Linked DNA regions of Macaca mulatta. The protein of the gene in region 1 interacts with the protein of each later gene in a biochemical or structural test. Links are inferred from orthologs where the notes say so. Each region holds a gene or a part of one and is shown in the gene's direction. Other genes may lie near its edges. The genes, in order: RGS4 and GNAO1.

What was found.
Region 2: the proteins of RGS4 (region 1) and GNAO1 form a complex in vitro, tested with the Homo sapiens proteins (2 studies listed by BioGRID). The link is inferred for Macaca mulatta from reciprocal best matches to the Homo sapiens genes RGS4 and GNAO1.

The regions. Positions count from the first base shown.
Region 1 is NC_133406.1:20,800,250-20,804,164, forward strand, and holds the start of RGS4 (regulator of G-protein signaling 4), read left to right. Parts: upstream 1-1,425; 5' UTR 1,426-1,489; coding exon 1,490-1,547; intron 1,548-1,805; coding exon 1,806-2,082; intron 2,083-3,915. UniProt on the Homo sapiens protein: Inhibits signal transduction by increasing the GTPase activity of G protein alpha subunits thereby driving them into their inactive GDP-bound form. Activity on G(z)-alpha is inhibited by phosphorylation of the G-protein.
Region 2 is NC_133425.1:51,915,035-51,918,849, forward strand, and holds part of GNAO1 (guanine nucleotide-binding protein G(o) subunit alpha), read left to right. Parts: coding exon 1-86; intron 87-3,498; coding exon 3,499-3,686; 3' UTR 3,687-3,815. UniProt on the Homo sapiens protein: Guanine nucleotide-binding proteins (G proteins) function as transducers downstream of G protein-coupled receptors (GPCRs) in numerous signaling cascades.

The DNA.
Region 1 (3,915 bases):
CTTTAAAGTCCCATCTATTGCAGTGATTTATATTTAACTCATGACAAATCAGGCTTCTCTTATTCTAAGTCCAAGAGATAAAGCTCTTATTGTGGAATTTCAGGCATCAGTAAACCTTTTCGGGTCCTCACTTATGTTCCTAAAATCAATCTGTTTGAGTGATCACTCTTTTAGGTGTCCATGTAAACAAAGAAGGCTGTGGTCTTTCTTTGAGTGACCTTCTTTCCCTTTTAATTAGTGTGTCCTCTTTAATGTCAGTTCCAACTGATTCCTCTCCCTGGTCCATCTTCCTTGGTCTAAGGGCCTCCCTAATTTCACATTGCACTGCAGTTCCTTCCACACCACCATCAAGAATGGCTGTCAACATTCACTTGTTCTATGTTATAATTCAAGGAAGAGTTGCCCAGTATCTACTCTAATAAATGTCTTTCTATCTTTATGGGCGGCTAGAGGCTTTTTCCTATAATTTAAATGCATCTTCGGTAGATTATGGTCCCTCCACCACCTTACATTTGTCTGCTGTCTCCTTGCTCTGCTAGTCATGGAAGGTGTTGGTAGTGGGAGCAGTGTGGGATGTTCAAGGGCACGTATTGGGTCGGGCCATGTATGGGCATTGCTTTGTGACATTCTTTCTATATTTTTGGTATTTTGCATTTCACTGGAACCTAACTATTTTTCATCTCTTCCACCTAAACCATTTGATGCCTCTGTTTCTTAAATATAAAGTACAGCTCACTGTAGCCTATGATCAGGAACCTATCTGCTCTCAAAATGAAAGCTGTTTTGGTCAGATCTAGCAATTAATTCTCTTCTTCCACTTATAGCTTTCCTCTGTAACTCTGGTGTAGGTATTTGATATATGGCTATAAGATGTGAAACACCTGAATGATTCTCTCCATGCAGGCGTTTCAGTTTATGATATTGTACGTAAAAGATACTAATTGTTCAGGTGTTCAGAAACACCTATAGGGCTTAATATTCTTAACGATTCGTTTTAAGGCTGGTGATACGCAAAGCAAACTACGTATTTTTCTGCCTGCTCTGTCTCTTTCTCTCTACATCCCTCTTTCTTTATCTTTTGAAATATCAGTTTGGAGACTTAGAATTACATAAGACATAAACCCATTTGATATAAGAATTGCTGTGTATATTTGCTCACCTACTCCCTCCTTTGGTCCTCAAGCTGCTGGTTTAGACTTTTTACAGGACACAGGCATGTAAAGGAGAAACTGTCAGTGCTAGGCTGAATTCTGTTGTTACCAAGATTTCTAGAAAAGTATTCCTCAGTCAGGTTGATTACGGATATAGCAAATCTATTTTTCCTAGGGTAGTTTCTCTATGCAGCCGGGCTTATAACTGTCTGTCATCCAGCTATTTCTCTCCACCTTCTTGTTTGCATAACAACCAAGGCAACTTCTGCAAATCACTGCGTGGAGACGATGATCCTGCCAGCTCCCTTTTGGAAATCGTGAGGATCAGATCTGGGACCATGTATCATATGATGCTTCTAATCCAAAAGAGGAAGGGCACTGGGAGTCAGCTCCTAAGTAAGCTTCAGAATTCCTGCTGGTACTTTTCCTTCCAGGAAGCAACTTTCCTTGATATTGTTTTTTACAGAAATATGAATGAATACTATATTTTGCAGCATTGTACACTTTTTTCCTTTTCTAGAAATTCTAAACCTCTGACACTGGTAGAGACATTGAGTACATTTTTTTCCATATCCCTACTTTGCTGAAGGATTTTCTCTGCTCGTTCACTTAGCATTGCTGATGCGTCAGTCTTTTCCTCCTCATCTCTTTCAGGGGCTGGAGAGGCAGAGGGAGACAGAGGAGCTGGTACTGCAGAGCTGTCGTCTGATTGGCTGGACCGTCGTAGCTGGGCTATAAAAGAGACCCCTACAGGCTTAGGAGGAAGACGCTCAGAGGATTCTGAAAATATCTTTACCGGAGAAGAGGCAAAGTACGCTCAAAGCCGAAGCCACAGCTCCTCCTGCCGCATTTCTTTCCTGCTTGCGAATCCCAAGCTGTTAAATAAGATGTGCAAAGGGCTTGCAGGTCTGCCGGCTTCTTGCTTAAGGAGGTAAGATTGCTTTCAGTCATTAACCGTATTAAACTTTTGGATAGACTTTCTCAGTTATTTACATGTTGTACTTACTAACCTAGTTCTGTGCAATTAGAAACAGTGTGGTCAGGAGAGCACGACTTTCTAACTTTCCTCCAAGACTAGCTAGATACTGTGACTTAAGACATGTGCTCCCCAAATTTCAGTCCTTATGTATTGTTTCATGTGACCTCAGTTTTGAGAACTGTTCTTTAAGCCAGGTCTAAGCAAGCTAGTTTTAATTAAGAAGTGAGATGAGGCTTGAGGCTATGTATAGTGGTCTGCAATATCTCCATCTGTGATTACTGCTGTTATTTAAGCATCCCTGGAGTACATAGAAGCCTGGGTCTGGGTTTTCTGATTGTATGCTACATCTTGTTTCAGGAAAGGTACCCCAGAATGAGGTTTGGCTCCATCATCAGAAAGGCACTATGCTTTCTGTGTAGTGCTGCAGTATCTTTCACTCTCTATGTTCTTATAAGCAAATGTTACAATAAGATATGAGTTCCAAAGCCAGATCTTCCTTATCTCTCTGCCCCATCTCTAGTTCTTAAAGTGTCTTATATGAGTGTGGTTGAGAAGTATTGATCATTACAAATCAGTTAACAGTTTTGTAGATCTCACCTTAAAGATATTGTTTTGTTAATATACTCTCTTGATTTTTTAAAAAGACTTTACAGACATACAGCTATTCATTTGTTTTTCGTTTGTTCAAAAAAGGTATAAACAAATGCATTCAGAGAATGATCGTATAGTAGTCAGTTGAAAATTAAACACAAAATGAGTGCATATTACATTACTTAATCTTGCAGTTAAAGGTAAAAAGTCAATCTAAAGGTATACTACCTGCTTTCTTATCGCGCTGCAAATAGAAATTACCCCAAATTTTATTTTGGAAATAGTCTCAGAAAACATAATTTTTTATGTACTATTAAAACATTTACTTTTCAAATATTCTGTCATTCAGGAGTATGGAAGTATCTATGGCTTCTTTAAAATGAAGCAGGAGGGTCTGGCAGAGAGTATCTATGAAATAAGTTCCTCTGACCTTCACGCTTAATTTTCTGAATGGAGTGGAGCAAATTACTTCAAGCTTCAGTTAACTTACATATGAAATGAACTATACAAAAATACAAGAGTGTCAGGAGAAAGTTATGTCCTGGTAAATATTTTGCAAAACAGATAAAAGTTAATACTAGAGCTCTGTCCTCAAAGAGTTAAGCAGCTAATCTAAGGAGGTAAACTCTATGTCAGCAGAATGAACTGCCCTTCCCTTTCCTCACCAGTAAATTGCAAATCGTCTAGTCCAACATCTTTGCCACCAGTGCCTGAGGCTCCACAGGAGCCATCGCCTGCTCAAGGTCACATAGGTTGGTGGGTGAATTAGGACCAAATCTAGATTTCCTGACTCCAATAACTTCTGAAGTCATTTTGGTTTTTATTTTTATGTTTTTTTTTTTTTTAAATAAGAATACTTGCTAAGCACACTTAGCCCCTGCATTGATCAACAACTCTCAGATCTCAGGTGGATCCAGCACATAGAAATATGAATTCATTTCTATTTGGACTTCATGATATACTTATATTATCACCTTGGAATCACCCTAACATTCAGGATTATATCCTGTTATCATCAAAAAAGATGTTGCATCCCCTGAGCAGTCATCAGTCAGGGAAGCAGAGGAAGGAAAGTAATCTTGCAAGGAAGAGAAAATACTATTTAAGGGGCAGTCAGAGAACATAATGGAATTCAAACTTTCTGGGAAAACCTACATACATAAATGTATTAGGGGCTATGTTAAATGTCTTTCT
Region 2 (3,815 bases), on another chromosome or scaffold:
CATCATTCTCTTCCTCAACAAGAAAGATCTATTTGGCGAGAAGATCAAGAAGTCGCCTTTGACCATCTGCTTTCCTGAATACACAGGTGGGTGCCAGGCAGTCCTGTGCAGGGGGAAGCCTGCCCCTGACAGGGACCCATGGCTCAGAGAACAGGCTGCTCGGCCAGCACTGCTGGGGCTAGCTGGCGAGCGGGACCCATTGCAGGAGTCTGGTGGGGCGCAAAAGAAAAACAGCGCTGTGCCACCAGGTTTGGGCTTCCCAGGACACAGCCCTCAGCGTGGTGAGAGTGGCCCCTCCTAAGATATATGTGGTAGGACCCAGTCACTCAGGAGTGACATTGTGGGGAGCAGGGGGCAGGACGGGATCACAGGCTTCCCCCTTCCTTCTGGTCACCCTCTAGGAGAGATCTCAGGATAGCCTCCTGTAATCTCAGCAGTGGCCTCCCCTCACCCCTGCCCAGGGCCACACAGCACCTTTGCATGAAACCAAAAGGTGGACACATGGCTTGTGAGCAGGGTGTGGGCTGCCTCTTGGCCCCACCTGCTTTCTCTGCTCCCTGTTTCGGTGCCCAGAACATGCTTCATCTCTGTGCAGCCGCCCAGCCAGACCACTCCACCCGCCCCACATCGTGCCCGCCTTCCTTCCCCAACCCCAGCCCCGTGCCCGCCTTCCCTCCCCAACCCCAGCCCCGTGCCCGCCTTCCCTCCCAACCCCAGCCCCGTGCCCGCCTTCCCTCCCAACCCCAGCCCCGTGCCCGCCTTCCCTCCCCAACCCCAGCCCCGTCGCACCTCCTCTCTCCCCTTCTTCCTCCGCCCCTGGTCTTTGCCCCAAATCCAACCACTCCAGCTATCTGCAAGCCTCCTCCATCCTTGCCTCAGTTTCTTCTGACTTCTCTGGGGCTTTCTTCTTGCTCTCAGGGGAATGTATCACAGACCTCCCCACCCCCCTAAATGAAGCTCTTTCCAAATGGATGATGAGGGAGGGTGGCTTCTGTGGGATGGGCCAGCTCTGGGCTGCTGCTAATGCCTAAAAGCAGCGTTGATGGGATGCCAGAGCCCAGCCCTGGTCCCTCTAGGGGCTGGGAAGCTTCCAGAGGTCCCTGGGGTAGGAGTCGCCTTTGCAGGCTGCAGAGTATGGAGGGCCAGCACCCTGCCATGGAGCAGGAGGTGTCTTGTCATCCGCCAGGTCAGGGCACAGGTTGGCTCGGCCAAGAACCCATGTTCTGACAGCCCCGGAGTAAGACTTTGGGCTCAGTCCCAGGGCCACATGGGTCCCCAAGCCCAGCCACAGGGCGCCACATCCAGCATAGGTCGATGCCCGTCTCCCCACCCTTCCCCACAGCTGGGAGCAGTGTGTGAAGAAGGGCTGTCAGCTGGTTCTGAGCACAAACCATGTCCTCACTGACAGTCCATGCTGATGTGAATTTGCAAGGTGGTTCTTGCTCTTCCCAAGGTGCAGAGTGGGAGGTGGGGCCAGGAACTATGCACTGCGCTCAAGGCTCTCGAACAAAGAAAGACCCAATAGGGCAGGCAGCCCAGGTGGCCTCTGCAGCCAGACCACCTGCAGCTCAGCAAGTTGCTCAGTCACCTGTGCCTCATTCTAATCTGGTCAACACAATGGATAATCATGCCCAGCCCAAGGGTGACTAGAGGCACAGCTACTTGGTGCCAGGTCTACAGAAGCGCTGGCTGTGGCTGCCATTGGTATTATTCAGAGGATGGAAACTAGGGGAGGGGGAACTGGCCATGGAGAAGGTGCCCTCTGCAGGATGGAGTGAGGGCAGGAGGCACAAGACAAGCCCCGAAAGGCCAGCCCCAGGTGGCCCTTAGGCAGAGCCAGGCTGTAGCCCACTCTGGGCAGCCACTGCTGACCTCTCCTGGCCACAACAATGGAGTCCAGCAGGCCCCCGCCGGCCAGGGCTACCCTCAGAGACAGGCCCAACCCTATGGCTCTTTCTTGTCCAGTGTCCCACTGGGGCCCGACTTGGGAGTGGCCATTCTCACTGCTGTGGAGTGCAGTGATGCTGTGGAGTGAAGCACTAGATGCCCCCGCAAAGGGCAGTCGGAACCTGGGAAACATGAGTTCTCCAGGGCCTTCAGAGGGATCCAGTTTGAATTCAGATATCATGGATGACAGATGGTCACCAGTGCAGTGGCCCCATGGAGCACAAGCCTGTGAGGGCACAAAACAAGCAGCACGGGTGGGATGGGAGGTGACGTGTGGGCCACCGTGGCCGGGTGGCAGCAGGGCTGTGTGAGTATGCTGGGCTCGGCAGACACAGGGAAGGCACAAGGCACTCCTCCCACCTGGACGGCTGTATGTGGCCACCTTCCACCCTGGGCTGTGCCCGGTTCGGCTCTCTCCAGACAGGAAGCTCCTGGGCAGGGTCCACACGGGCTGCTTTGTCCAATCTTTAACAGCTGTGCTGGGCTGGGCATCTCTGCACCAGCGAATCAAGGATGAGGCTTGGCCCTGTGGGTCCAGGCACTCCTACTGGGCTGCCCAGAGCTGGTCTCTGCCGTGATAACCCACCCAAGGATGCCCCCACCTCCTGCCCCTTGCCCCTTGTACACCCAAGGAATTGGTGGGGACAGAGGGCCCCCAGTTGGCACATACATGCTGATGTCCCCTTAAACTTCCCACCTTGGGGACATCGATGCCCCCATGTCCTGGCCACTCGCTCAAGAACCACGACTACTACTGATATGCTGCCAGCCCTGCCGAGTGGCCTCTTAAAGGAAACCAATGAGGAAGGAGCACAGGTCCCGGGTAGGCCCCTCTCCAGACTTTGTTTTCCTGGTTTATTGGAATCAGCAGGATTGGTTTAGACCATGGGGCGGTGCCTCAATTTGCTCATCTAGGAAGCAAAAGGGATCATCTGTGGCCACTGCTCTCCCAGGCGGGCTCCCGGGTGGATTTTGGTGTGAAAACAGTAAGGGATCTTGCAAAGTCCAAAGCCGGGCAAATGCTCGCCTGTGTGTGGTTGGTGCAAAAGTAATTGCAGTTTTGCTATGAAAAGTAATGGCAAGGCCGAGCGTGGTGGCTCACGTCTGTAATCCCAGCACTTTGGGAGGCCGAGACAGGTGGATCACCTGAGGTCAGGAGTTTGAGACCAACCTGGCCAACATGGTGAAACCTCGTCTCTACTAAAAATACAAATATTAGCTGGGCGTGGTGGCAGGCACCTGTAGTCCCAGCTACTCGGGAGGCTGAGGCAGGAGAATCACTTGAACCTAGGAGACAGAGGTTGCAGTGAGCTGAGATAGCGCCATTGCACTCCACCCTGGGCAGTAAGAGCAAAACTTCGTCTGAAAAAAAAACTGTTATTTAATTTAAAATGCAACTACGGCTTGGAACTGCCCAGCAGTTCTTCCTGCTGCCTTCCTCTCATCCCACTTCCTGGGACACGCCACAACCCACTTCTTGTCTTCACGTCCCCAGCCCTGTCCACCCACAGTGCTCACCAGGGCCTCTCCCTGTTCTGTGTCTTGTTACAGGCCCCAATACCTATGAAGATGCAGCCGCCTACATCCAAGCACAATTTGAAAGCAAAAACCGCTCACCCAACAAAGAAATATATTGTCACATGACTTGTGCCACAGACACGAATAATATCCAGGTGGTGTTCGACGCCGTCACCGACATCATCATTGCCAACAACCTCCGGGGCTGCGGCTTGTACTGACCTCTTGTCCTGTATAGCAACCTATTTGGTAATGATTCCAGCACCTACAGAACAGCTTGCGTGCGCGCGCACACACACACACACACACACACACCACTAACAAATGCAAGTTGGTAAATAAACTTTAAA